Linked DNA regions of Lonchura striata. The protein of the gene in region 1 interacts with the protein of each later gene in a biochemical or structural test. Links are inferred from orthologs where the notes say so. Each region holds a gene or a part of one and is shown in the gene's direction. Other genes may lie near its edges. The genes, in order: ATF7IP and methyl-CpG-binding domain protein 1.

What was found.
Region 2: the proteins of ATF7IP (region 1) and methyl-CpG-binding domain protein 1 form a complex in vitro, tested with the Homo sapiens proteins (2 studies listed by BioGRID). The link is inferred for Lonchura striata from reciprocal best matches to the Homo sapiens genes ATF7IP and MBD1.

Annotation. Positions count from the first base shown.
Region 1 is NC_134607.1:57,510,130-57,525,317, forward strand, and holds the start of ATF7IP (activating transcription factor 7-interacting protein 1), read left to right. Parts: upstream 1-9,197; 5' UTR 9,198-9,480; intron 9,481-9,550; exon of another isoform or gene 9,551-9,732; intron 9,733-10,973; exon of another isoform or gene 10,974-11,078; intron 11,079-15,188. UniProt on the Homo sapiens protein: Recruiter that couples transcriptional factors to general transcription apparatus and thereby modulates transcription regulation and chromatin formation. Can both act as an activator or a repressor depending on the context.
Region 2 is NC_134638.1:840,869-855,719, reverse strand, and holds the start of methyl-CpG-binding domain protein 1, read left to right. Parts: upstream 1-9,076; 5' UTR 9,077-9,173; coding exon 9,174-9,182; intron 9,183-10,052; coding exon 10,053-10,174; intron 10,175-10,646; coding exon 10,647-10,761; intron 10,762-11,066; coding exon 11,067-11,377; intron 11,378-11,621; coding exon 11,622-11,707; intron 11,708-12,092; coding exon 12,093-12,133; intron 12,134-12,237; coding exon 12,238-12,387; intron 12,388-14,000; coding exon 14,001-14,135; intron 14,136-14,257; coding exon 14,258-14,305; intron 14,306-14,411; coding exon 14,412-14,468; intron 14,469-14,851. Other genes in the region: CXXC1 (CXXC-type zinc finger protein 1), read left to right, coding at 399-548, 1,612-1,719, 2,583-2,767, 5,026-5,233, 5,766-5,876, 6,377-6,426, 6,679-6,775, 7,278-7,430 and 1 more. UniProt on the Homo sapiens protein: Transcriptional repressor that binds CpG islands in promoters where the DNA is methylated at position 5 of cytosine within CpG dinucleotides. Binding is abolished by the presence of 7-mG that is produced by DNA damage by methylmethanesulfonate (MMS).

The DNA of each region.
Region 1 (15,188 bases):
CCTCATGTTCCAAGTCCGGGGTGTCAGGCAACACCAAATCCCTCCCGTGTTGCCAGGGAATGGGTCCCGCTGAGGCTGCCATGGCCCTGGGTCCCTGGGGCTCCACCCATAGACCAGTGTCACAGAGCCCAGGCTGCATTCCCTGCATTGCCCTACATGGTTATGTGACCATTGGCCACTCCGTGGCTCTGAAAAGCACGATGAAAACATCTTGTTCATAGTTTTGTTCACTAAAAGCAGAACCCAGACATTCAAGTGGGCTGCACTACCCAATATCATGCACACCACTGTGGTCATGGTTCTGCCAACAGGCAGATGCGTTATTTCCATGAATGCCATCCATATGTTGGTGGAATTAGTTTCCTCTAAAGGTACTTATGGGAGTTGAAGAACGTTTGCACACATGCGTGGACATGCCTGAGCATGCCCAGAGAGAAGACATCATGAAGGGATCATCTTGAATGGGGAAAAAATCCCTAAAGGCATTTTGTTTCCTTTTCTAGGAAAACTACTCTTCCCACTTACCACTCCACCAGTGATTTAGGAAGTAAGTAATAAGTAAAACCATGGTGCTAATCCTTGGCAAGAAGCAGAACAGTGTAAGGGAAGCCCAAAACCCTTCTTGCAAATGGTTGTTACTTTTGAGTTATTTGAAGAAGCCACTTTAAAATTAGAGGGAGCATGACCACTAAAAAAAGCCACAAACCTGCAAAGCACAAGAAAGTTATTCATCCAAGCATAATCTGAAACAGCACAAACCTATGACCCCTTTGCAACATTTCTGGTAGAAGTGAAAAACCATGGACACCCTGGAGTTGTTGAAGCAGCCAAAAAAGAGACATGCCTTGTGGACACATCTCAGAAGTAAATGGGCTGGACATTAGCAAGAGACTAGAACAAAATGCAGAACTACACAGAAGACTGGAAAGAAATGCATCTAAAACCCTCAGTAATCTGAAATAGGATGACTATTTACCTGAGGGTTTAATTTTTTTTGTTCAGAGTTTTGTTCCCTGACAGCCACTTGTGACCAGTTTTCAATACAATATTAAAATATATTTTGATGGGTCAAGTTTTGGGGACAGGAATGGAAGAGTGATTATGAAGAGAAGGATGTAAAGACAGAAAAGATGACTGCATAAATTTAATTAGTTAAGCAGGTTTTAATAGATACAATCTTTCAAAATATATCAAATATTCTAGTGGTATTTCTGACAATTATTTCTGTAGTTGTCCAGGTCTGTTGTTAATCAAACACTGTGTGGAAGGTATGTTATTTTAAGTGTTGTGATGTATTTACTTCTCTGTCATCTCTCACACAAAAACTTTTATTTTGGTGTCTGACAGTGTTACTATCAGATACACTAAAAAATTATGTATTCCTCTAATTTTAGGCAACTCATCATTAGCATAATGAGAGTGGGCTATTTAATTCTGGTTAGGGTGTGGAGTTCTAGAGATCTTTTTCTCTTTAGAAACAGAAGATGGTGATAACGGAGGTCACACAATGAATGTTTATTGGTTAAAAAAAGTCTGCATTTTCAATGAAATAAATTTTAATATTTTCATTAAGTGCTATTAATGTAATACAAATGAAAGTAAAACATAATTTTCTTTCAAATAAATTCTGAAGAGTAGCATTGGCACCTGAAAGTTGGGTGAAAACGCAAAGTAAAGAGTGAATTTGCTCAAAGATGTTATAAGCACTTAGAACATGCTGTTGAATCACAGAATTCTAGAAGCGCTAAGGTTGGAAAATACCTCTAATATCAAGTCCAATTGTCAACCCATAGTTTAAACCATTAAACAATGTCCTCAAGTGAGTGGCAGCACAACATCTTTAATGTATCTATGGGCTTTTTGCATGAGCCATTTCTCTTTATCCAGCTCCAACAGGGATACTTCTTCCACAGAAAAGATTGCGTTATAAATATGGCCCTACCCTATCATAATGAAAAAACTGAGTATGATGAGATAATGATTTGGTTTTAATTTTACTAAGTTGTTCACCTCATTTTGAAACAAATTAGCTACATTTGAAAATATTATTTTGTTAATAATTAATTGTATGTTGAAAGTATTAATAGTAATGACTTACATGAGCTATGTCAAGAAGACATTAAAATTTCAATTCATAAGATAGAGCAGAAAAACAGAAACAAAGCAAGAACCTGTACCAGCTTGTGTTAAAAGGAACTAACATTTCAGCATTGTTATCAAAAAGTGAAGAATAAAAGGAAATACATTATTTACTACACAATAATAACTTTGGGCTCTACTTATTTTGAGATAGGGAAGGCAGAAAGGTGTTTTAATTTTGCTAATTCCCCTAATCAATTCTAATGGGCAATAAATTAATGTTCCCCAAGTCAAGTCTCTTTTCCCAGCAGTAATAACAAGTAAGTGATTTCACTGTCTGTCTTGACTGTCCTAATCTATTTTTTCTAACTGGCCCTGTTGAAGAGGGGGAGTGAGAAAGCAGCTGAGTGGGGATCTGACTGTTAAACAAGGCTAAGTCACCCCAGTCTGTTTTGTTGTCTGACATGTGGTTGAAGGAATTAGAGATAATGATAGTAAGTAATTGGGAGAGGCAGTGCACAAAACTTGAACCGGACATTGCTAGGGAGTGGAGTAATTTCAGGGAGCTTTTTTTCATGTTGTAAGTGAAGCTTGTGGAGAATGTGGACCATAGGGAATGTCTCTGTGAGAGGGCTCTGCTACAGTGGTAGAGGGGTAAGATTTTTCTCTATATGTACATGTTAGCCTTTTAGCCAAATTCTAAGTAGGTTTTCCTATTAGTGTTTTCCTTCCTTCCTTCCTTCCTTCCTTCCTTCCTTCCTTCCTTCCTTCCTTCCTTCCTTCCTTCCTTCCTTCCTTCCTTCCTCCCTCCCCTCCCCTCCCCTCCCCTCCCCTCCCCTCCCCTCCCCTCCCCTCCCCTCCCCTCCTGCCTTCCTGCCTTCCCACCTTCCTTTCTTTCTCACTTCCCCAGGTACACCAATGTTCTGGAGAAATCATCTAAAATTATTCTAATTCATGGAAATTAAATGCATTATTAAGTAACAGCATGGTAACTGCCAATGGGCAGTGCTGACTCCTCCATTTATTGATGACTTTACTCAGTATCAGTGAATATCATGTGTCTTGGTTAATTCCATGCCTCAGTATTGGAGGAAAGGTTGGATATTATCTAAGCTATTTTTATAAAAGAAATATTCATCTTTGTTTACTACATAATAAAACCCTACAGGAAGAAGTACTGACAAAGTACTCAGAATCTGGCCAAAAAATACCACATGACAACTTCACTTAGGAAGAGTCTTTAAAGGAAGACAATGACTTCTAGCAAAAACAATGGTCAACTGAATACAGACAAACCCAAAACTTGATGGGTTTTTTTTTAGAAATATGATTGCGTTTTTAGGTTTGTACAAATACAGTAAGGTTTAAGTTATCCTTCATTTTCACTTTAAGACATCGTGGAGAAAATTCAACCCAAGCTGGAAATACAGAAGTAACAAAACTGATAATTTTAAGTAAATAAATCCAAACAAACTGTTTCTTACATTCCACCCTTCATCTGTCAGCCAATTTTTTATTTACAAAGTCTCCAGCAAGTCTGTAGAAGGTTGATCATACTGGGAAGTTCCAGTTATTATGTAATTAACATCATCTTGAAAAGTTCACTGCTGCTAAGCCCAAGTATTTTACCTTTCAAAGTTGTTAGTAAATCACTCAGCATCTGATTCTTCACTGGCAGTTTCCTCCAGACATGCATAATTTATTGAGACATACCACTTTAATTAACCCATGAGTCTTCCACTTTCTAGAAGGATCTAAAGCGGGTATGACATTGAAAAAAGCTTAAGGCTAGAGCTGAGAATAAGAAAACTGAGAGAAGAATGGTTCACCCTGAGGGTACGCCTTTTACCAATGTATTTCTGTTGCTCAGCATTCAAGGTCAGTTTTTTTTCATTTTTCATTTATTTAGACTAAGGGACATTCAGGATAGACAAAAATCAACCCACACATTTCAGATGATTTGCAGATGAGATGATCAGTTTATTTATTGAAAACATCCAGTATGCATTACATTCCAGACATGTTCAGACAGATTCCTTCCAACAGGTCAAAATATATTCCCAAGGAGGAATCATAGAAAATATTCTTTATATTTCTTTACCCAATTCTAAAAATACTTGTATTGGATAAAACTTAATGAGACACATGTTCAGAAAACTGTGTAGTCTAAAGCATTGTGCATCTAAAAAGTATTATGGGAGCTAAAACTGAGCACTAAATCCTCAACTTGTACTGCAATAACAATGCTACTTTACCTGACGACTTTGTATTACTTTGCGTTTTCAGAGGAAGAAAGACATCTTCCACACCAAGTTATTTCTAGAGCAATTTTCCTGAAGTAATTGAAAGAGAACTGTGTTCAGGAACTAAATTTCAGTCAACACACTTGATGGCAACCAGCTTATTTCATGGCCAAATGAATACTTCTAGTGATTATATCCTGTATATTAGGTACTGGTTTTACAACTAGGTTTCCCAAGTTTCTCATATCAAATGAGACAATAGGAGACAGGCTATTCCTTCCAAAAAATGTTCCTGATTGGTGCTCAGTTTCACTTTATTTTTAGATTCTTCTGGAAAGGATGTTCATTTAATGGATTCCGGTTGTCAATCACATCACATTTTGTTAAAATCACTTTTTCTTTCAAAGTCTGATAGACTCTTTAATAGATGTTAAGCATAAAAATTGACAAGATACTTGCCTGTATCTCAAAATACTGATAGTTTAGTAGAACAAATTTTAAAAACTGGAAAAAACATGGCTTTTTCATTAATTGGACTTTGTACTTACCACTGAATTATACAAATATCACTGCTACAAAATAAGATTTTCTTATTAAAACCATAAATGAAGTTAGATATTATTTGTTAAGGTGGAGGTGGAAGGTAGCGAAGTGAGAGAGGACAACTCCATGGGAAAAATGACTGGTAGGCGTTTAAACTAAATATGTCTGCTCAGCAAATAAATTAGTTAGTTACTACACCAAAGTCACAACAAAGTAAGTTTGATCAAAAAAAGCTGATCAGGAGAATATTTATTTCATAATCAGTAAAATTTATTTTTTAAAACTAACATAAAATCAAAGAGGAATACAGAACATTTAGGAATTTTCCCCAAATCCTCTACTTAGCCTTAAAGATAATAGATAAAAACAGCATATTTTACAAAATTCACATTAGAGGAAGGTACTTAATCTACTGTGAAAAGTAACCTAAGTGCAAATGCCTTAACCAGCTTTAATTAATTACAGAAATATTTCCTCAAGTATTTTCGTTATATTCTCCATGTTTCTGCTCTTTGTTCTTACACTGTGAAGTTAATATATTTAAAAGATTTATAAAATGTCTTAACATAAATTCACAGATGTTCTTAAAGTTTTGTATTAAAAAAAGCGCCCTTGTATGAAAAAGGAATTTAAAAAGCTTTCTGTTTTTCTTTACCAGAAAGTTAACATGCAATTCCTTTATCAGTGATATTTTAAGCCTTCATAGTGAAATTCTTGAAGACTGAAATCAAGAGAAATGTTAATGTTCAAAAAGACCTCTATGATTAGCAAGTTGAACCATTAACATAACAGTGCCAAATCACAGATCAGGTCGTCAGATAAGGATTTATTTTTTTCTTACCAAAAATATTTCTGTTAGTGAAATGACTTTCTGGTATTATGGTGTTTCTTTTGACCTGTGTAGGAATTGTTTATAATCAGATAAGTTTAATCATTCCATCCTATTAGGCAATTAATATGTAAGAAACACTGACTAAACTAGTGATTTACTAAAAACAATGTAAATCCTACTGGCTCAAAAGTGTCAGCCATTTAGCAAAGTGAGGTCTTTAAATACATGTTCTCCAGTAAGGATTTAAAATTGCTGGAAATAAAATTACTTTTTCCCTCTTGCTAAATATTTCTTACGATTGTCTTTTGTTTTTATTAAAAGTCAGCAGTTGTCTTTATATAAAAAGTATATTTTCGTATTGAGAATTGTACCTTTCTTCATGCATCACTTTCCTTTCTTCCTTTTAGCATTCCCACTGTGACCCTGCAATGACTCCATCAGCAATTACTAAATCATATGGGGAGAGTTAATATTTTGAAAATATTAATGTTGTTAATATCACACGTCTAACACAATCTGATATACAGAGAGAATGATCATGTAATCAGATTTCTAGTGATATTCATAGGCTGGAAGGTGTCCTATAACACTACCTGGAAATAAGAAAATTAAATATTGTATACAGATTTTAAGAATGAAGTTCATTGGAGAATTGGAAATCAAGAAGAAATTCTCTGTTGCACTTAAGATGCCCAATTTTTAACATTCTTTTTGTAAAGTGCATTGGAATATATGTTTTTCTCTGTGTTTATCATTACAATGATTGAACACACTAATAGAGGAATCAGACAGGAAACTAGATGGATATCTATTTTTTTGTGGTGTTAAAATTTTCTGTCTTGTTAATTTAATTCCAGCGTACTGTTTGCTTTGCACCTGCCTTTTACAGCAAAACCCTCACATTTTGCAAATAGAGACAAGTTGATGAAGTTGTGTTTTTCTGAATTTTTTTTATTTTAACATTCCTCTTGCAAAGATGCTGGGCAATATTAACTAATACTATTGCTTTTTCAAATGTGTGACCAGTCATAGGAAGAGTGGTTGACAAAAATCTGGAGTTTCAGTTCCTCAAATTCCTAATCTTGTAATTCAAATATTATCTTTTCTTCAGATTTAAGGATACAGTCCTATTACTGCTGCTGGTATCTGAAATGCCGTAGCAGGACACTAACTTTCTAAAACAGCTACATTAATACAACTCCCCTGAATCGTCTGCATGCCGTTCCCTCATGTCCTGTCACTGGTTGCCAGAGAGAAGAGATTGGTGCTAGCTCTCGTTCTTAACTCTCTCTTTACTACATGAATTGTATTGCATTGAACAAAAGTGCCTTGCTGTAATGGCTTCTATACTAAATTAAGTTTCAAATAACACTAGTTATTCAAAGAGATTATAGAGATTGAAGAGATTCACGGTCTTCTGGAAACTCATCTTTTAGCCAGAAAGCATTCAATCCTGATTGACTCACAAAGGATTTTTATGCAAGAACCCTGCAAAAGTGATCACCAGAAGGGAATTTACAAGTTAAACAATAGGCATGGCTATGAACTGCCCACTTCTGGGTAGTTCTGGCTTCTTCTTTCTGAAAAACCTTGTAGTCTGTCTACACAAAAGCTCAGAAGACTCAACTTCAAATTAATGTATTCCTTTTTTCAAGACAAAATATTTCACTATGAAACTGTAGCTCAACAATGAAAGTTTAAGACATTATGGTTACAGGTTTCTACCACACTTCCTCTTAGAAATTTTCATGCCTGTAGCAAAGACACTGAGGAAGATGCATGTTCCCATTTCAGCTGTTCAAGTTCCAGGTTGGTACCCCTTCTTAAACCCTGTTGTGACGTATTTGCAAATTTATGGGCGCGTGTACATTTCCTTGTTGCATCTTGGCTGTGTAACAACAACAACAACAAGTAGCAGAGAGATCAGGCAAACCACTGGGAATGGCAGAACCCTAAACTACTGCCCCTCAATCTGTTGAGGAAAACCTTCAGTGCAGGTAGCTCGGTGTATAGCTGCAGTGCAGCTGCAGATTGAGCTCTGGGCGGCAGGAGTCCCAGAGGGGCAAGAGGCTGTGAACTGGTGGCAGCCCTTTGCACAACAATGGAAGCAAAGGGCCTGTGGCATTTGCCACGTGATCGGGACACTCAGAGACATGGCAGGAGCCAAGGACTCAGCTGGAATACCTCAGACTATAGTGTGCATAGAATGGGAGGGTATAAAAGTTCAGGGCTTCCTTTATTCAGGATCCCTCCTCCAAAGCACCAACTCCAGGTCTTATTCTGTTGTTGCACTGTGATTTTTTTATTTTAAGGATCCAGATGTTGGAGACTTTGCTATAGGAAACTTGGCGTCAAACCAGTAAGGAAAACCTGATCTGACTTTGAGAGTGTGGTGAGGGTAGAAAGTCAAGTGAGGCACCCATTGGTTGCTGGAGCCGCCAGTGCAAAGCAGCTTCAGTCCCAGCTTTGGTGGTGCAAGTGTAACTGCCAGAGTGGTTCCTGGGTAGTCACACAGGAAAGTTTCCTTAGCCAATCCACCAAGCACACCTGACAGGACTCTGAAAATGGCTGTATAATAGATACGGTTTCATGACATACGTGCACAGAGAAGCCTATTGGTCAGCCTGGTCCATATATGACAGACAGAAAATTTATTTATATTTAGCTTGATTTTCAAGAAAACAAATAAAAATGCTGGTTTTCACACCTTCAATAGGAAGCATGTGATCTTTATTTGCCTTAACGAGGAGAGAACAGGATTCTCCAGTACCAGATTAGTAGGTGACTGGTGCTTCTGCCAAGAATCTACACATGCTTATCTCTGCTCTCATGGTTTCTTGTGTACCTAAGGACACAGCCATGTGTCTCTCTCCTAGACCTGACCCATGCCTCATGTGACAGACCACCAGCTGGTCAGTTCTGCCTTTGGCTGTGCTACAAAGAGCACCAAGTTCTAGCTCACGTCAAAGCAGGCTGCGTGTTTTTCTCCCCCGTGCCTGAGGCAGACATGGAGGGTGGATGGGGAATAGCACTTGTGGTTTTGACCTGAAGCGCACCCAGGATTACCCATGTGCTTCAGATTCACCTAAAAGCAAGAACTAACAGGCACCGTTTGGTTTCTTGGCCCTCTTGAACCTCAGCGCACGTTATCAAACATCTGGGCTTTGGTCAGGCACAACCCTAGCCCAGAAGTGAGACACGAGGCGTGATAAGGAATGAGCAGAGAGCACTGCAGTTCACTGATAACGCAGCCTGGCGGATTTCAGGCGGGCTTTCGAAGGTGTCAGAGAGGCTGCAGAGCCACGATTCTGGAGCTCCTGTGGCGGGAAGCTGGGAAAGGAAGAGAGGAAGGCAGGAAGCAAGGCAGGTTGGGCCGGCTGCTCCCGGCACCGCCCTTCGGTGCGCCACAGCGCCCCCTAGCGGCAGCGGCCGCAGCGCGCCCCGGCGCTTAATGCGCCTACACTTGCACGGCTGCGCGCCAGGGGGCGGGGCCACTGCTCATTTAAATATCACGGAGGCTTATTTGCATGCCACGCAGATGGCCGGCCCTGCGATTGGCCGGTTCCGGAGCAGCCCCCCACTGCCGGCCCCTGTGCCCACGGAGGGGGCGGGGCCAAACGAGAGAGGGGAGGAGACACTGGGCTAATTTGCATAGCGGCCGGCGTGTGTGACGCGGGGAGGCGGTGTTGGCGTCCGGAGCGCGTTGCGAGTTTGAATCCGCGGCGGCGGCGGCGGCGGCGGCGGCTGCTCGGGCGGGAGCTGCCGCGGGACGCGAGGGCGCAGGTACTGCGGGGCGCGCTCGGGGCGCGGGCGCCGGGCGGGCAGGGCACGGCGGCGGCCGTGCTCGCTGCTCCGCGCGGCGGCGGCGGCGACTGCAGCTGCTGCAGCAGCAACAGCGCGCATGCGCCAGGAAGCTGCACCTCTGTACACGCGCATGCATGGGAGCACGTGACCTGGCTCCAGTGCAGCGGCGGTGGCGCGCGTGCGCGTGCCCGTTGCATTCGCGGGTTGGCGGCGGCGGCGGCGCGGGCGCAGGTGGGTCTGACGGGGGCGCGCACCGGGCAGCAGCGGGCACCCGCCCGGGCGCGACCCGCCTCACGCGGCCCGGGCGAGGCGAGGCGAGGCGGCGGCGCGTGTTTGGGTGGGACGGGGGCGTCCGGCGCCTCGAGAGCGTTCCCTCGCTCCCTGCCGGGATTGGGCTGGCGCGCCCGGGGCGGCGTCTGGCGCCGCCGGGAAGGGCCGCGCCGGCGCGGCGGGCGTGGGACCTCGCAGCGCATGGGCTGTGCAAGCAACGAGGGCAAACTGTTGATGGTGTTCTTGCACTGGTAGGCACCAGGAGCCAGTTTCTCTGCTTTATCGATATGCTTGTTCATTGGGAACCAGACAGTTTCTGTATGGCAACAGAGAAGGCAAGTTGTGCTTACTCGTGTGATGCCACCAGTAAACAAGGCCCAAGCGGCTCCTCGAGGTGTCATGGCTGCCCATATCAGGCAGCATGGCAAAAGAGTTTAAGACATGAACTAAGTTAAAGAAGGTACATTCCAACCTCTCCTCTTCCTTAGCTTAAGTATTTTAAATATCGAAACTCTTCAGAGTTAAGCGGTTTTTTTCTTTAATTCTGAGGCCTGGTGTAGCCTTGCCCTTGAGTAGCTTGTTCTAGCAAAATCCATCTTTCTGGATTTTGCAGTCGTTGGCAGATATTCGGTGGAAATGCTGATAGTAGGATATTTTGTTGCTTAACAGTAATCTTGAAATCATTCTAATAACGTCGTATGACTGCAATCCTTACCATAGATAGACTTACTCGAAAAGTTGGATGGAAATGTTGATGGAAAAGTACTTGCATAAAATAAAGGAGTGAACAGCTCTGCTGTTCTAGGAAGCAGTCAGTGAGCTTAAAATGCAGGCTTCGGTCACAGAAAAACGTTACACATCTAGACATTTACTATGCTAACAAGAGGAAGTATGTTAATAGGTATGTTTGTTTAATATCCGCAACTATACAAAGAAATGCATGAATACGTTTATTAGAACTTAATTCTGCAAGATAAGACTATTTTACAAGCATGCTATTTGTATCTCTTTTGGAAGTTAAAATATATACATGTGCTTGTTACAGTTCAGAATACTTATTTTTTCAAAAACAGAAGAGTGTAGAATGTTCTTAATCTCTGCTTAAATGTGGAATTAATAAGTTAAATATGAAATCTGTACACAACGATCTGTTATCAGTGTAAAAAATAGATGGTTTTCTAATTAGGTGTTGGTTTTTGCAGTCCTGCAGGAAGGTATGAAGGAGAGTGTTGCTGCAGATATTAAGAATTTCTTGAAGGGAAAGAAACCAAACACAAAAACCACTGCTGTTTGATACGTGATCCTGGGTAGGTAATGTCTGAGTTTCAGATCTATGAAATGGGGCTAGTGGTTGTTTCAGGCCAATTATAAAATAAATTCACTAAGAACTACATGAGGATTTATGCAACTCATGAATCGTGGTAACTGCACTCACTATTTATTCTTGACATACAGCAGTTATTATTTTACATGCTCCAAAAGTACCAAGTTAAATTTCTATGTGTATATATTCCAGAGAGAATTATATTAATAATAACTTTGGATTCTTGTTACATTTCTAGGTTAGAGAACATAGTACATTATTTTGGAGTAAATGGTGTTTGTATCAGCTGCAACCTTTCTACCAGCTGTAGCAGTGCTGAGCTGATGCTTTCTGTGATAGTACGGAACAGTGTTGCATTCTGCTGTATGAAATAACTTATCAAGAGAGTGTCTTGGATGTCATGTAGACTTGAAACTGATCAAAGCAGTATTTATTTGTAAAATGATACAACAATAATTATATGCATCAATTTAAGTAGTTATTCTGGTGCTTTTTTTGTGAGACCTCTAATTTTCTACCCCATATGAAGTCTGTTTTTAAGAAGATGCTGATTCTAATAGACACGCACATCATTTTGCCACATTTCCTGTACCTCTATAAGCAGTAGCTTGTTATTATTGTACTCATTTCACAAATTTAAAAAATCAACATTAATTGTAATGTGTGAATTTCTCTATAAAAGCTCCTTTAGTAATGCTTCCCTTGGGGACATAAAACACATAAGCATATGCTTTCTTACCATCATTGCTGGAAGGTGATTTTGCTAGCCGAGAAAGAGTCTGAACAACTTAATAAAAGTTACTAGTTAATAATTAAATTTTAAATATTGCTCTTACAGAATCCAATGCAAACAGAAATGTTTTGTATGTTCAATGAATTCTAAAATACTGATTTGTCATTAGTAACTCAATTTTCTTTGTATTTGCGTGTGTTTCCTGTTACAAACTAGAAGTATTTTCACCATGAAAAGGAGCTGACTAAGCCAAATACTGTATTTTGTTTTCAAAATAAGGGAAAAAACCTTATTTCTCACCATTTAGATGTTTTATTGATGTAACTATTTATTAGGTTTATCTCAATTTAATTGTCAGAAACTATACATATGGCAAAAATGTCAAGTTTATTCATGGAATGTAAGCAGAAGTTTATTAATGGAATGTAAGCCAAAAGATCCTTTAAACCAGTATCTTGTTCTTACTTAATAGTTTACACGTTAATTTTTTTTTTACTATTTGTTCTACCTTTGGTGTTTTTTTCTGTATTATGAGTTAGTTCCATGTTTACATTATGATTTTATTTTGGGAGTTCATCACAATTTTCTTAAGGGGTAATAAATGAAGAAAATAAGTTGCAAGTTACAAAACTGTTACGATATGTGAGTGTGAGGAGTTGGGATTTTTTCCCTCTCCTTGATACATTTTTAATACCGCTCTTAAGTGCAATGAAATATAATGTTATTAATAATTTTGAGAAATATCTCTCATTGGTCTCCTTGATCTTCTCTAGTATGCAACATTACTCTGAGAGATTGACCTATTCACACAAAATTAGTGGGAGTTTGTGAACTGGTCAATATAAATGCTGCTTTGGTGATGAATATTTGTAGTCCTGGTATTTCAGTTCTGCTCACTGAACTGTGTGTACTGCATGAAAAAATTCTCCTAGTTCCACTGTACTGTAAGAAGCTGTTTATCAAGCAACAGTGACTCGTCCAAATACAGGCTGGAGAGTAATATAGGGCTGTTGTGTGTGGCAAGATTTTTTGTTTGCTGGTTTTTTGACAGCTCATTAAAAGCAGAAAGTTAAGTTGTTTTTAAAGTAAATTTTTCTTGTCAAGTCAGATAGCTGTAGAATATCTTAATCTCTGAATATGGTTTAGGTATGAATTGTGTAATACCTAATATTTAACATTTCTCTACTTGGGCCTTGGTTTAGACACTAAAGCCTACTGGATGATGTCAGAGGAAGTAACTTATAATATTTTTAATACTTGGTTAGGAGGCTCTGGAACACAGATTGTTTCAGCTTCTGAGTTCTGGTTATTTTCTCAAATGCATAATTTTACATAATATTATGGAGATCTTAGTTTTTATTTGGCTGAAAAGATTTTGTGTATTGTTGATAGCGTTTTTAGATGTCTTCATTTTTTGTTCATGTTCAGGTTTTTCTAACTTCTTTTTCCGTTTTGTATTTTTATAATAATGGCAGTCAAGAAGTTCTTGATTTTGTGTGTACAATGCTTAAGTCTTTGAAAGCATCTAACTGAAGTACAGTATCAGTCTACAGATTAGACTATAAAAGTGAGTGTCATCTGATGTAAATATAAAGCACTGATATTCATTCTCTAGAAACTTGCTCTTCAGAATGCATTATTTTTTCCTGTGGAAGTGTGATTCAGAAAGGAGAGTCTGTTTTGTTTGGAGGGCAATTTTTTAACTTAAATTGCATATTCTGGTTTTAATGAGTGTTCTAGTTCTTAACGCTGTTTTTCCTTGACTGTTTGTCTGACGATATATATAGGCCAAAACGTATTCCAAAGTTGTAAGCAGATTTTTCCGTTGCATATGACTTTTATATAGCTTTGTATTTCCTTTCATCTCATGTTGTACTAGATAGCGTTAAAAAAGCCAGAATGCTTTAACTGAAAAATAAATCATAATCATAGAATGGTTTGATTTGGAAGAGACCTTAAAGATCATCTACTCCCAATTGTCCTGAAGTGCAGGGAGATCTTCCATTAGACCTGGTTGCTCAGAGTCCCATCCAGCCTGACCTCGAAAACTTAGATGGGTGAGGCATTCCTCACAATTTAACCACCTCACTGCAGTGCCTCACCACTCTCACCTGAAAGGATTTCTTCCTAATATCTAATATAAACCTACTGGTTTTCAGCTTGAATCCATTACTTTTTGTTCTGTAACTCATAACCTTATAAAAAGTTATTTTCCAACTCTTTTATAGGTTTCTTTTATAAGCACTGGAAGGTCCCGAAAGTATCTATACAGCCTTTTCCAGACTGAACAACCCCAGTTCTCTCAGCTTTTCTTCTTGGGAGAGGGGATCAGTCTCTCTAATCATCTTGGTTGCCTACATTTGGACTCATTCCAACAAGCCCATGTCCTTTTTTATGTGAACATTTGTTGCTAGTTATTCTATTCTTAGTAGTTATTGCAAAACTTTTTTGTTTTCAGTAAATATAAAAATAAGTATCAAATATAGTTATTAGTTATTAATAATTACTAATTATTAATAATTAATATCTGTAAAGTCTGAGAAAATGAACAGCTGGAGTGAGGAGAGTTTACCAGTGTTGGCAGTGAGGGAGTTTTGAAATTATATGTTGTTTTGGGGGAATAACTTGCTATCAGTCAGTACATGAGCCAGTGTCCAGTGTTTACTTGCTTGGTGTAGTAAGGAATGAGTGATAACCCGAGTAAAAAGTAGCAAGACAATGTTTGTATGAAATGTGGATTTGCTAGTTCCATTGCTCACTCCTTATCTTGTTTAGTACTGCTGGTGTATATTTTTTTAAATTGCCTGTATATTTAACAGCAAATCTGCCTTCCCCTTTCCATTCCTCCCCCCATCTTTCAGGGGTTTTTTGAAAGTAAAGACTCCCTTGTAGGTGTAGCTGAGAGCATGGTACTAACTATACAGTACTAAATAACTGTAATTTTTAGTGGTATGTCAGTTTCCATCCCATGATAATGGAACAATTCACAACATTGTGTAAATGACTGTATCTTGTATAAATACCTTTTATGTTTCTCTGGGAAAGCTTTTGTTTGGGAAACAAAAGTGAACTATGCCTCTTGTTGTATTTTGAGCCGTGCTTGTTACAAATTATTAAAAACTGTACATAGGACTTACTAGCTCTTATTTTTTTCATGAACAAACATCAAATAATTTGAGAATTTAGGAAATTAGATGGCTGGGTCCCAAGTACTTGTTTTTAAATGTATTTTTAAAAATATTTAGTTCAGCTAATTTTTGAGGTACTTTATGGGTATCATGAATTTTTGTAATACAGGAAAAATGTTTTCCTCTTCCGGATTTGGTTTCTGAAAATGCTTTCAAGTAAAGTCCCATAGTC
Region 2 (14,851 bases), on another chromosome or scaffold:
CCCGTGAGAAGGGCGTGGGGGAGGGCCCAAGCCTGGCCTGGGTGGGGAAGGGGCACCCCAAAATCCTCATTGCCCTTGGGGTGACGGGGGGCTCACAGCTACAGGGGCTGGGGGTGCCCAGGAAGGTGCTGACCCCCCCCCCCCCCAGTTGGTGCAGGGGGGTCCCAGGGGTGCCATGAGAGGGTCCTGGGGGTGCCAAGGAGGTCCTGGGGGTGCCTGGTGGGTCCCAGGGGGTCCCTGGTGGGTGCTGACCACCTGCCAACTGATAGGGGTGTCCTGGGGGTGCCATTAGGGGGTCCCAGGGGTGCCATGGGGGGGTCCCAGGGGTGCCATGGGGAGGTCCCAGGGGTGCCATGGGGGGTTCCCGGGGGTCCCTGGCGGTGCTGACCCCCCCCCAGCTGGCCCGGGGGCGTGAGGGGGACCTGGAGCTGCTGAAGGCGCAGCTGGGGGGGCCGGGGCCCCCCGAGAGCCTCTCGGATGAGGAGCTGCCCCTCGACCCCCGGCTCTACCAGGAGCTCTGCGCCGGCGCCTTCGACGAGCACGGCCTGGTGAGCCCCCCAAAAACTGCCCCAGGCACTCCAAAAAACAGCAACCCCCCCCCCCCCCCACTCCGGGACCCCCAAAACTGGCACCTGGCACCCCAGAACTGCCCCCCCCACCCCCGACCCCAAAAACTGCCCCCCCAGCACTCCAGAACTGCCCCTCTGGGACCCCAAAAACTGCCCCCTCCCCCAGGACCCCAAAAACTGCCTCCCTGGCACCCCAGAACTGCCCCTCCGGGACCCCAAGAACTGTCCCTGGGACCCCAAAATCTGCCCCCCTGGGACCCCAAACACTGCCCCCGCCCTGGGACCCCAAAACTGCCCTCCTGGCAACCCAGAACTGCCCAGGGACCCCAGAACTGCCCCCACCGGCACCCCAAAACCCACCAGGCACCCCAAAACCCACCAAGTACGCCCCCAGATACCACAGGAGCAGCTGTGAAGGAGGTTTTTCACATCAGGGCCTGGTTGAGTGAATTTAGGGCTGCTTTGTGTGTCAGGGCCTGGTTTAGGCTGTTTGGGGGTGGTTTTGTGTGTCAAGGTGAGCTTTGGGTCTATCAGGACGTGTCCTTGGTCCCCAAATGTCCCTGACGTGGGACCGTGGCATGTCCCCACGCTGGACTGTGCCCTGAGGCATTGTCCCCAAATGTCCCCAGCGTGTCCTGGCACATCAGGACATGTCCTCATGGCACTCTGAGGTGTGTCAAGCATATCCCTGCATGTCCCCAGCGTGTTCTGGCACGGCTCCACACCAGGCCATGCCCCGAGGTGTGTCCCCAAATGTCCCCAAGTGTGTCCTGGTGTAGCTCCGTACCAGGCCATGCTCTGTGGCATGTCCCCAAATGTCCCCAGGCATGTCCTGGCATGGCTCCACACCAGGCCATGCCCTGTGGCGTGTCCCCAGCATGTCCTGGCATGTCCCCACACCAGGCCACATGCCTCAGGCACCTCAGGCCACATTGTCCCCTCGTGTCCCTTCACGGGCCACACTCTGAGACGCATCAAGTTTGTCACCCCACGTGTCCCCACGTGTCCCCGACATGTCCCCACGTGTCCTCGGTCCTGCCAGCCCTGGCTCAGTGACGCCGAGGACGCACCGTTCCTGGACCCCGTCCTGCGCAAGCGCGCCGTGAAGGTCAAACACGTCAAACGCCGCGAGAAGAAGTCAGACAAAAAGGTGAGGGGGCACTGGGAGCTACTGGGAGGGCCACTGGGAGCTACTGGGGGTTACTGGGATGCTCCAGGGGTTGCTGGGAGGGCTCTGGGTGGTTGCTGGGTTACGAGCAGTGGTTACTGGTTGGTGACGGGTGGTTACTGGTGCTCACTGGTGTGGAAGGAGGAATGGCGGAATGAGCACTGGGAGGATGCTGGGAGGTAACTGGTGCTAACTGGTGTGGAAGGAGGAGCGCTACAAGCAGCACTGACTGTGTTGGGCTATGACTGGTGGTGACTGGGTGGTGACTGGGAGGTTACTTGTGTTAACTGGTGCTAACTGGTGTGGAATGACGAGCACTACTAGTGGCACCAGCAGCGGGCACAGCACTGGGAGGGCTCTGGTGGTTACTGGGAGGTTACTGGTGCTAACTGGGGGTTACCGGTGGAGAAGGAAGAGAACTACAAGCAGCGCTGACTGTGTTGGGCTATGACTGGTGGTGACTGGGAGGTTACTGGGCTATGAGTGGTGGAGACTGGGTGATTACTGGGAGGTTACTGGGAGGTTACTGGTGCTAACTGGGGGTTACTGGTGCAGAAGGAAGAGCGCTACAAGCAGCACTGACAGTGTTGGGCTATGACTGGTGATTACTGGGAGGTTACTGGGAGGTTACTGGTGCAGAAGGAAGAGCACTACAAGCGGCACTGACTGTGTTGGGCTATGACTGGTGATTACTGGGAGGTTACTGGGAGGTTACTGGTGCAGAAGGAGGAGTGCTACAAGCGGCACCGGCAGCGGGCACAGCATTGGCAGTGCTGGGCTATGACTGGTGGTTACTGGGAGCTTACTGGGAGGTTACTGGCGCTCACTGGGGGTTACTGGTGCAGAAGGAGGAGCGCTACAAGCGGCACCGGCAGCGGGCACGGCACCGCGAGCGCCGCGGGCACCCCGAGCGCGCCGACGCCCGCGACCCCGCGGGGCTGGGCCAGTGCCTGGGCCCCGGCTGCACCCGCCCCGCGCGCCCGCCCTCCAAGTACTGCAGCGAGGCCTGCGGCATCAAACTGGCTGCCAAGTGAGTACCCACCAGTACGGACCAGTATAAACCAGTGCGGGACACGACAGGCTGGTATAGACTGGTATAAACTGGTACAGAATGGTACTGGCTGGTATAGAGCAGTACAGAACAGGACAGGCTGCTGTAGACCAGTGTAAACCAGTACAGGATAGTACAGGCTGGTGTAGACCAGTATAAACTAGTACCCAATGGCACAAACCAGTATAAACCAGTACAGAACAGTACAGGCTGGTATAGACCAGTATAAACCAGTATGGAATGGCGCAGATCAGTATAAACCAGCAATGATCTGTAGAGTGATGCAAACCAGTATAGACCAGTATAAACCAGTAAAGGATAGTACAGGCTGGTGTAGACCAATATAAACTAGTACCCAATGGCACAAACCACTATAAACCAGTACAGAACGGTACAGGCTGGTATAGACCAGTATAAACCAGTATGGAATGGCGCAGATCAGTATAAACCAGCAATGATCTGTAGAGTGATGCAAACCAGTATAGACCAGTATAAACCAGTAAAGGATAGTACAGGCTGGTGTAGACCAATATAAACTAGTACCCAATGGCACAAACCACTATAAACCAGTACAGAACAGTACAGGCTGGTATAGACCAGTATAAACCAGTACGGAATGGCGCAGATCAGTATAAACCAGCAATGATCTGTAGAGTGATGCAAACCAGTATAGACCAGTATAAACCAGTAAAGGATAGTACAGGCTGGTGTAGACCAATATAAACTAGTACCCAATGGCACAAACCAGTATAAACCAGTACAGAATGGTACAGGTTGGTATAGACCAGTATAAACCAGTACAGAATGGCGCAGAGCAGTATAAACCAGCAATGATCTGTACAGAGCGGTGCAAACCAGTATAGACCAGTGTAAACCAGTACAGAATGGTAAACCATTCTACAGTATAGACCAATATAAACCAGTACAGACCAGTATAAACCACTTACACTCCCCATTAACCCTTTCCTCACCTGGATCCCAGCCGGATCTATGAGATCCTGCCATAGCAGATCCAGCAGTGGATCCGCCAGTGGATCCCAGTGATCCCACAGCCCCCATTAACCATTTCCTCACCCCAATCCCAGCTGGATCTACGAGATCCTGCCGCAGCGGATCCCAGGGATCCCGGAGCCCCCATTTTAACCCTTTCCTCACCCCGATCCCAGCCAGATTGATGAGATCCTGTCATAGCAGATCCCAGGGATCCTGCACTCCCCATTAACTGTTAGCTCGATCCCAGCTGGATCTACAAGATTCTGCCATAACCAATCCAGCAGTGGATCCCAGGGGTCCCGGAGCCCCCATTAACTCTTTCCTCACCCCGATCCCAGCTGGATCTGCAGGATCTTGCCACAGCGGATCTCCAGCTGTGTATCCCAGGGATCCCACAGCCCCCATTAACCCTTCCCTCACCCCGATCCCAGCTGGATCTACGAGATCCTGTGACAGTGAATGCAGCAGTGGATCCCAGGGATCCCGGAGCCCCCATTAACTCTTTCCTCACCCCGATCCCAGCTGGATCTGCAGGATCTTGCCACAGCGGATCTCCAGCTGTGTATCCCAGGGATCCCACAGCCCCCATTAACCCTTCCCTCACCCCGATCCCAGCTGGATCTACGAGATCCTGTGACAGCGAATGCAGCAGTGGATCCCAGTGATCCCACAGCCCCCGTTAACCCTTTCCTCACCCCGATCCCAGCTGGATCTACGAGATCCTGTGACAGTGAATGCAGCAGTGGATCCCAGGGATCCCGGAGCCCCCATTAACTCTTTCCTCACCCCGATCCCAGCTGGATCTGCAGGATCTTGCCACAGCGGATCTCCAGCTGTGTATCCCAGGGATCCCACAGCCCCCGTTAACCCTTTCCTCACCCCAATCCCAGCTGGATCTATGAGATCCTGTGACAGTGAATGCAGCAGTGGATCCCAGTGATCCCACAGCCCCCGTTAACTCTTTCCTCACCTCAATCCCAGCTGGATCTACGAGATCCTGCCGCAGTGGATGCCAGGGATCCTGGAGCTCCCATTTTAACCCTTTCCTCACCCTGATCCCAGCCGGATCTACGAGATCCTGCCGCAGCGGATCCAGCAATGGATCCCTGTGATCCCACAGCCCCCGTTAACCCTTTCCTCACCCCGATCCCAGCCGGATCTACGAGATCCTGCCGCAGCGGATCCAGCAATGGATCCCTGTGATCCCACAGCCCCCGTTAACCCTTTCCTCACCCCGATCCCAGCCGGATCTACGAGATCCTGCCGCAGCGGATCCAGCAGTGGCAGCAGAGCCCGTGCGTGGCGGAGGAGCACGGCAAGCGGCTGCTGGAGCGCATCCGGCGCGAGCAGCACCAGGCGCGGCTGCGGCTGCAGGAGATGGAGCGGCGCTTCCACGAGCTCGAGGGGCTCATCGCCCGCGCCAAGGGGCACCCGCCCCGCGAGGACGAGGAGGTGGGCACCCCCCGGGGCTGCCGGAGGGCTGGGGACCCCAAAAATGCTTTCATTCTACCCGTTTTGCATCCCTCTTGTGATCGCACTTGGTTATTTATGGATACGTGGTTGCCCCCACATCTTTTAATTTTCCCTGTTCTGGGTCCCTCTTGAGATCCCCCTTAGTCCTTCGTGGATATCTGGGTGCCCCCAAATGTTTTCATTCTCCCTGTTCTGGCTTTCTCTTGAGACCCCTCTGCTGTCCTGGTACCCACACTCAGCTCCTGCAGGGCTGGGCCCCCCAAAAACCCTTTAGTTCTGGGTCCCTCTTGGGATGCCCCCAAACCCCTTTATTTTTCCCCATTCTGGGTGCCCCCTGGGCATCCCCCAAATCTCTGAGTCTCTCCTGAGCCCTGTCCTGGGTCCCCCATGGATACCTGGGTCCCCCCAAACCTCTCCCTGGAGCATCTGCGTGTCCCTGGAGCCCCCTAATCTTGTGTCCCCCCAATGCCTGGGTCCCCCCTTGGACCCCCTGACCCCGCTGTCCCCCCAGAGCACGGAGGGGGACAGTGAGGACACGGACCTGCAGATCTTCTGCGTGTCCTGCGGCCACCCCATCAACCCCAAGGTGGCCCTGCGGCACATGGAGCGCTGCTACGCCAAGGTGATCCCGGGATTTGGGGGGGGTCTGGGGGCACCTCTGGATTCCTGGGGTCTTTGGGGTCATCCATGGCATTCCAGGCTGCTGTGGGATCATCCATGGGGTCTGTGGGATCATCCACAGGACTCTCTGGGCTCCTGTGGGATCCTTTTAGGGGAACTTTGGGAGCCCCCAGAGCTGGGCACCCCTCCTAGATCCTGCAGTGGCCACGGGGATCCCTTCCCTCAGCTTGGGGGGACTGGGGGGGGTTCCTAGGGGGCTGGGGGGACGCTGCGAAGGAACTTTGGGGGTTTCTATAGGGGCTGGGGGGGCTGTAGGACCTGCTGGGAGCTCTGTAGGGACTGGGGGTTCTGTGGGGAGGGTCTCTATAGGGGCTGGGAGGCCATTAGGACCCTATGGGAGGGCTCGGGGGGGCTCTATAGGGGTTGGGAGTCCATAGGGCCAAGGGTGGGCTCAGGGGTCCCATCCCTGCCCCCTTTTTGACCTCCCCCACCCCATTGCAGTACGAGAGCCAAACGTCCTTCGGGTCCATGTACCCCACCCGCATCGAGGGGTGAGTGGGGAGGGGGCTCTGGGGAGGGGGGGCACCCTGGGGGGCTTTCTGGGGTAGGGGGGTCCTCCCACCCCCCTAAATCCTCCTGGGAAGGGGGAGGGCAGCACCCAAGGGAGACTTTTTGGGGTGGGGGTGTCATCCCCCCCAGGGGAGCACCCAAGGGGGAGTTTGATTGTGGCTGTCTGGGGTGGGGTGGGGAGTCCTTCAGCACCCTGTCCCCCCCACCCAGGACACCCCTTGTGTCCCCTCCAGGGCCACTCGGCTGTTCTGTGACGTTTACAACCCCCAGAGCAAAACCTACTGCAAGAGGCTGCAGGTGCTGTGCCCCGAGCACTCCCGGGACCCCAAGGTGGGCACAGATTGAGATTTTGGGGTGGAATTTAGGGCATCTGTGCCCCGAGTGCTCCTGGGATCCCAAAGTGGGCACAGAATGAGATTTTGAAGTGGAATTTAAGGCATCTGTGCCCTGAGCACTCCCAGACCCCAAGGTGGGCACATGGGGGCTTTGGGGAGCAGGGGCAGTGCCCAGGACAGTCCTGGGACCCCAAAATGTGCACATAATGAAATTTTGGGGTGGAATTTAGGGGATCTGTGCCCCGAGCACTCCCGGGACCCCAAGGTGGGCACAGATTGAGATTTTGGGGTGGAATTTAGGGCATCTGTGCCCCGAGCGCTCCCTGGACCCCAAAGTGTGCACAGGGAGGGCCAGGACAATCCCAGGACACAAAGTGGACGTGAGGGGACAGGACAGGGGCAGTGCCCAGGACACTGGCAGGACCCCAGGGTGGCCATGGAGGTGGCGGAGGGGCTCTGGGTGTCCCCAGCCCGGCGCTGACCCCGTGCCCGCCTAGGTGCCCGCGGATGAGGTGTGCGGGTGCCCGCTGGTGCGTGACGTCTTCGAGCTGACCGGGGACTTCTGCCGCGTCCCCAAGCGCAAGTGCCACCGTCACTACTGCTGGGAGAAGCTGCGCCGCGCCGAGGTGGACCTGGAGCGCGTCCGCGTGGTGGGTGCCACCGCCCGGTGTCCCCAGGGTGTCCCCACATTGTCTGTGTCACTGTTCCCACGCCGTCCCCACACTATCCCTGTCCCCCACAGTGGCACAAGCTGGATGAGCTGTTCGAGCAGGATAGTGTCCCTGTCCCCACACTGACCATGTCCCTGTCCCCATGCTGTCCCCACACTGTCCCTGTCCTCACACTGTCCCCACACTGTCCCTGTCCCCACACTATCCCTGTCCCCACGCTGTCCATGTCCCTGTCCCCACACTGTCCCTGTCCCCACGCTGTCCATGTCCCTGTCCCCACGCTGTCGCTGTCCCCCACAGTGGTACAAGCTGGATGAGCTGTTCGAGCAGTACAGTGTCACTGTCCCCACGCTGTCCCCACACTGTTGCTGTCCCCCGCAGTGGTACAAGCTGAACGAGCTGTTCGAGCAGGACAGTGTCCCTGTCCCCACACTGTCCATGTCCCCACACTGTCCCTGTCCTCACACTGTCCCTGTCCCCACACTGTGCCTGTCCCCACACTGTCCCCACACTGTCCCTGTCCCCACACTGTCGCTGTCCCCCGCAGTGGTACAAGCTGGATGAGCTGTTCGAGCAGGACAGTGTCCCTGTCCCCACACTGTCCATGTCCCTTCCCCATGCTGTCCCCACACTGTCCCTGTCCCAACACTGTCCATGTGTCTGTCCCCACACTGTCCCTGTCCTCACACTGTCCCTGTCCCCACACTGTCCCTGTCCCCCGCAGTGGTACAAGCTGGACGAGCTGTTCGAGCAGGAGCGCAACGTGCGGGCGGCCATGACCAACCGGGCGGGGCTGCTGGCGCTGATGCTGCACCAAACCATCCAGCACGACCCGCTGACCACGGACCTGCGCTCGGACCGCTGACCACGGGCCTGGCTCGGACCGCTGACCACCCCCGGAGCCCCAAAACCCCCCCGACCCCTCCCCACATCCCCCCACCCCTGATTCCTGGGTGCTCCCCCATCCCCAAATAAACCGGGTGTGCAAAACGAGTCTGGGGGTGTCCCTGTGCTGTTGTTGGGATTTAGGGGGGCTCCTGTGGGGTCTCTGGGATTCTGGGGGTCCCTTTTGGGGGAATTTTGGGAGGCCCTGGGTTCTGGTACCACCCCAGACCCTGCAGAGGCCATGGGGATCCCTTTGCTGGCCCTGGTGCAGCTTGGGGGGGTCCTGAGGAGACTGGGGGGTCCTTAGGGGGTGGGAGAGGTGGAAATGGGAGCAGCATCTATGGGGAGATTGGGGGGTCCCTGGCGGTTTCTGGGGGTCCTTTGGGGGGGGGTCCTGGGGGGATATGAGAGCAGCATCCGTGGGGAGGGTGGGGAGGGGTCCCTGGTGGTGTTTGGGGGTCCTTTGGGGGGGTCCAGGGGGTCCTGGGCAGGGGAAAGGGCCCCAATGAGCCCGAGGGGAATGTTCCGGACTCATTAGCATAACCACGCCCACACACAGCTCATTAACATATCCCCGCCCTCCTGGCGTCACGTGCCGCGCGGTCACGTGCCTCCCCCGCTCCACGGGTCGCGTATCGCCCCGCCCCTCCCTGGCTCTGCCTTTTCTCATTGGTTTACTCCGCCTCACGTGACCCGCACCCCTCGCCCCTCGCTTTTCCCGCCCGGCGTTTCCGCTTCCGGTGCGGGGCCCCGCCCCCTCCGCCCCCCGCGGCCTCGCCGGAGGAGGAGGAGGAAGAGGAGGAGGAAGAGGAAGAGCTGCGCCACAGGCGGGGGCGGATGGGAACGGTGAGAGCCCGGCGGGCTGCGGGACCGCAGCGGGGAGCGAGAGGGAAGCGAGCGGGGAGACGCGGCCGGTGGGGAAGGGCGGCCCTGAGGGGGAAGGGGCGGGGGGGGGGGGGGGGGCGTTCGTCTGGGGGAAGGGGCGTGAGGGAGGGGGCTGGGAAGGGGAGTTTGGGGGCGGTTTGCCAGGGGAAGGGGCAGTTTGTGACGGGGAGGGGCAGTTCAGGGGTTGTTTGGGAAGGGGAGGGGCAGTTTGTGAGGGGGAGGGGCAGTTTGGTGTTAATTTGTGAGGGGAAGGGGCAGTTTGTGACGGGGAGGGGCAGTTCAGGGGCTGTTTGGGAAGGGGAGGGGCAGTTTGGTGGCAGTTTGTGAGGGGGAGGGGCAGTTTGGTGTTAATTTGTGAGGGGGAGGGGCAGTTTGTGAGGGGAAGGGGCAGTTCAGGGGTTGTTTGGGAAGGGGAGGGGCAGTTTGTGAGGGGGAGGGGCAGTTTGCGAGGGGGAGGGGCAGTTTGGTGGCAGTTTGTGAGGGGGAGGGGCAGTTCAGGGGCTGTTTGGGAAGGGGAGGGGCAGTTTGTGAGGGGGAGGGGCAGTTCGAGGGTTGTTGGCGAGGGGGAGGGGCAGCCTGGGGTTGTTTGTGAGGGGGAGGGCCGGTTCAGGGCTGTTTGGGGAGGGGCAGTTCGGGCTGCGGGGCAGTTTTGGGGTGTCCCTGCGGGCTCGGGGCTGTGTTTGTGTGGGGGAGGGGGTGGCCCTGGCGGTGGGGGAGGGGAGGACGGAGTCACGTGGGGAGGGGGCGCGGCCCGGCTGTGTTTGGGGGAGGGGTCCGGGGGTGTTCGGGGCCGGTCGTGACCCCCTCCCCACCCCCTCCCGGGGGTCCCAGCCCCCCCGCAGGATGGCGGAGGGCTGGGCCGAGTGCCCGGCGCTGGGCCCGGGCTGGCAGCGCCGCGAAGCTTTTCGGAAATCCGGGGCCACCAGCGGCCGCAGCGACACCTACTACAGGAGGTACCCCTCCCCAAAAACCCCCGGCGCCCCCCGCCCACCCCCACGGGACTGCCCGTGCTGCCCCTTCTCCCTCCTCCCATCCTAGACCCCATCCCGTGTCCATTTGGCCCCAAAACGAGCCCCCAAACCCTCTAATTTTAAGGAATCCCACACCCCCCCACCCCTGCTGGTGTTTCATGGGGGATTTCAGAGCCCCTCTCCCATCTCCCCCTCCAGGAGCTCCCCGCAGCCACTTCAATTCCCCTTTCCCAAAATACTCCCAGTCCCCTCCAAGTTTTCCAGGCTATTCTGGGGCTCGGGAGAGCCTTTTTGAGATCGCAGGGGAACTTTGGGGTACCCTGAGCTCTGTCCCGTCCCCGTTTCCCATTCTCCCTTTGGCATTTGGGGGCTCCCCCAGGCTCAGCGACCCCCCTGGGGTTTTGGGGCCGTTCCTGGGGGTTTTGGGGCCCGTCTGACCCGAGCCCCCTGGCAGCCCCACAGGGCAGAAGTTCCGCAGTAAGATCGAGCTGCGGCGGTTCCTGGGCCCTGGGCATGACCTGAGCAACTTCGACTTCAAATCGGGGCTGGAGCGGCCCGGCCCCACACGGGTATGGGACCCTAAAAACCACGGGAGGGGGCACAAAAATCCCAAAAAACCTTGGGGAGGAAAACCTGGGGCTCTCCTGAGAGGGGAGCCTCGTAACAGGAAAAGAGTGGGGGTGGAATAAAGAGATGGGATAAAAGGGGCTCCTCAAAACAAGGGGAATGAGGTTAAGGTGAATCAAAATTGGGGGGTGGGTGGGAAAAAAAGGGTCCTTAAATTGGGGAGGAGCTGTAATGGAGGTTTGGAAGGGGGGAGGGCTCACAAGGGGATCTCCCTCCATCTTGTGACCCCCCCTTTTGTGCCTTTCAGCCCAGGAAGAGCCCCAAATGGCACCTGCCCGCCGGGCCCCTCCCAGAGCCCCCCAAAATCTTCAAAAAGGAGGAGGAAGAGGAGGTGGAGGTGGAGGTGGAGGTGGACGGGGCTGAGACAGAGAAGGCCCCGCCCTCATCAGTTCAGGCCCCGCCCATCGTCGTCCAGGCCACGCCCCCTGCTCGCCAGGCCACGCCTCCTCTGGTCGAGGCCACGCCCCCTTCGGCCGTGGCCACGCCCCCACCGGAGCCCCCCCACCGCAGGAGCCGGAAGCGGCCGCCCCTGGAGCCCCCCCAGGATGGGGTGGTGGCGTGAGTGGGGCAGGGGGGTGGTCCCTGGGGGGCTGTGGGGGTCCCCAGGTGTGGGGAGGGGGTCCCAGGAGCAGGGGGTGACCCCAGGAGGGAGGGATTGGAATCCCTGGGGGGAGTTTGAGGGGTTCCTGGGGGGAAATTCAGAGTAGGGGGGTTCTCTCGGGGCTGTGGGATCCTGGGGGGCAGTGGGGGTGTTGGGGTTCCCTTGCCCCCCCCCCCCAAAATGCCACCTTCTCCTCCACAGGCTTTGTGCTGGCTGCCAGAGCCTCTTCCCGGGGGTGTCACTGCCCCCCCAGCGCCGCTGCCGCTGGCTCTGCCCCGACTGCCGTGGTGAGCTTCGGCCTCAGCGCCCTCCTCCTCATCCTCTGCATGCTCCTCCTCGTTCTCTTTCTCCCATCTTCCTTAGCTCTCTCAGAGCTTTTTGTGTTTTATTCTCTTCCTCATCTTCCTGTTGTTCCTGTCCTTCATTCCCTGGGCTTTTCCCTCTCCGTCATCATCATCATCATCATTCCTTGAATTGCTCCAACCCCATAATTGTAATTTTTTTCCTCGGGAACTTCCCGTTCCTCCTCCTCCCTGATTCTGCCCTGCCTCCCTTTCTCTCTCTTTTGGACCATTCTGGGGGGGAAGGGAGCTCAAAGAAATTTGGGAGTGGGGTCAGGGGGGATCCCAAGAAAGTTGGGGTGACCCTGACCCCCTTCCTCCACCTCCCCAGCCCGGAGACGAGACTTCAACAGGGAGCAGCGATTCTACAAGGTACCCCCAATTCTCAGGGGGGGAAAAGGTGCCCCTGGGCGTTCCCCAGATCCCTCAGGGGGTTTGGGGGACCCCCCCAGAGCCCTGACACCCCCTCCCCACAGCGGGTGGGCTGCGGCACGTGCCAGGCCTGTCGCATCCCTGAGGACTGCGGGATCTGCAGCGCCTGCGCCCGCAACCCCCCCGGGGGTCCCTCCGGGCCCGGCCGGACCCCCAAGTGCCTCCTGCGCCGCTGCCTGCGCATCGTCAAGAAGGTACCGGCACCCCCTTGTCACTGTCACCCCCCTGGGTGTCACCAGCAACCCCCCAGTGTCACCAGCACCCCTGCATGTCACTGTCAACCCCCCAGTGTCACCAGCAACCCCCCAGTGTCACCAGCACCCCTTTGTCACTGCCACCCCTCAATGTCACCGCAATCCTCCCTCTCCCCATGTTGCTGTCACCTCCTATGTCACCTCTTTATCACCTCCTTGTCCTCTCTGTTGTCTGGGGAGGAATGTGGTGCTGCACATTAATCTGTGTTAATTAACGTTATCAGTGTTACTCTGTGTTACTGATAGCCCACGTTCTGTGTTTTCCTTGTTGTCTCTCATTATTTTACGTTATTCCACTCTATTCCCTGTCATCCACGTTATTCCATGTCCCCTGGAGGGCTCCTGGCCTGTCCCCCTGTCCCTGATCTGTGCTGGCACATCCACCCATGTCCTGTATTCTCCCGTGCTAGCCCATATTATCCCAAATTTTCCCAGTATTTTCTGTGTTATTCCATGTTCTGCCCATGTCCCCACAGAGGCTACAGCTCCTGCCTTTTCCCGGTCCCCCTGTCCCTCTGTCCTTTGTGGCTGCACATTCATCCATGTTCTCCTGTATCCCCCCATGTTTATCCCATATTATCCCATATTTTCCTATTTTTCCCATATTTCCCCATATTTTCCTATATTATTCCATATTATTACATGTTTACTGTGTTTTCCTGTGTTTTTTGCCTGTATTTTCTCATGTTTGTTATCCCATATTTCTCTGAGGTTTTTCCCCTGTGTTTGTTCCCCCATGTTTTTTTGTCTTTGTGTTTTTTCCCCCTATTTTCTCATGTTTGTTATCCCCTATTTTCCTGTATTTTCTCCATGTTTTTTCACCCATGTTTTTTTCCCCATGTTTTTTTCTCCATGTTTTTTCCCTGTGCTTTCCCCCCATATTTTCCCCATCTTTTCCTCTATGTTCTTTTCCATGTGTTTTTTCCCTGTGTTTTTTTCCCGTGTTTTTTGCCCCCATGATTTTTTTCTTCATGTTTTTTCCCTGTGTTTTCCTCCTGTCTTGTCCCATATTTTCCCGTTTCCCTGCGTTGTTTCCCCCGTTTCCCTGCATTGTTTTCCCGTTTCCCCTTGTTATTCCCCCGTTTCCCTGCGTTGTTTCCCCCGTTTCCCTGCGTTGTTTTCTCCTGTTTCCCTGCCTTGTTTCCCCCATTTCCCCGTGTTGTTTCCCCCATTTCCCTGCATTGTTTCCCCCGTTTCCCTGCGTTGTTTCCCCCGTTTCCCTGCGTTGTTTCCCCCGTTTCCCTGCGTTGTTTTCCCCCGTTTCCCCGTGTTGTTTCCCCCGTTTCACCGTGTTGTTTTCCCATTTCCCCTTGTTGTTTCCCCCGTTTCCCTGCGTTGTTTCCCTGCGTTGTTTCCCCCGTTTCCCTGCATTGTTTTCTCCTGTTTCCCTGCCTTGTTTCCCTCATTTCCCCGTGTTGTTTCCCCCATTTCCCCGTGTTGTTTCCCCCGTTTCCCTGCATTGTTTTCCCCCATTTCCCTGCATTGTTTCCCCCGTTTCCCCACGTTATCCCGTGTTTTCCCTGCTCTCCCGGGTAACCCCGGTGTCCCCGCAGGGCCTGGGCTGCGGCTCCTGCTCCGGCTGCCTGAGCACCGAGGACTGCGGCAGCTGCTGCATCTGCCTGCGGCGCCTGCAGCCCGGCCTCAAGCGCCAGTGGCGCTGCCTGCGGCGCCGCTGCCTGCGCCCCAAGGTGGGACTGTCCCCTCGGTGTCACCCTGCCATCCCCGGCACCTCCCCGCTCTCGGGGTGTCACCCTGCCCTGTCCCCCCACGCCGTTGTCCCCTGCTGACCCCCCACCCTGTGTCCCCCCAGAAAGCCAGGGTGGCCAAGAAGCCGCAGAGCCCCCGGCCCCTGACGGAGGTGAGTGCGGGACCCCCGGGCGGTGGCACAGCGCGGACCCCCCTAGCTGTTCTGGGGGAAGGGGCACCCCAAGGTGTCCCCCCCTCAGCCCCATTTCTCCCCCCAGAAGTGGAAGCCCCTGGTGGAGCGGGAGCCCAGCGACGCCTCCAGCGCCAGGCACAGAGTGAGTGGGGCACACCTGGGCACACCTGGGCACACCTGGAACCCCCAGCCCCCCCCGCAAACCCCCCCTCCCTCCCAGAAGCCGCTGACCAAGGGCAAGGAGAAGAAGAAGCTGGGGCGACCCCCGAAGGCCCCTGGGCCCCGCGGGGTGAGTGACAGGCCTTGGCCCCGCCCCCTGTCCCTTAGCCCCGCCCACCCGCAGTGGCCACGCCCCTCCCAGAGCAGCTATTGGGGCAGGGGAAGCCGTAATGTTGTTAATATAGCGGCCTGTAAAAGGGGGCAGTATTGGGGTGCAGGTACCGTAATGATCCTAGTGGCTGTTCCAGCCCCTAATGCTGATGTTCAGGACCCAGAATAATGGGGTGCAGATATCGTAATTATCCT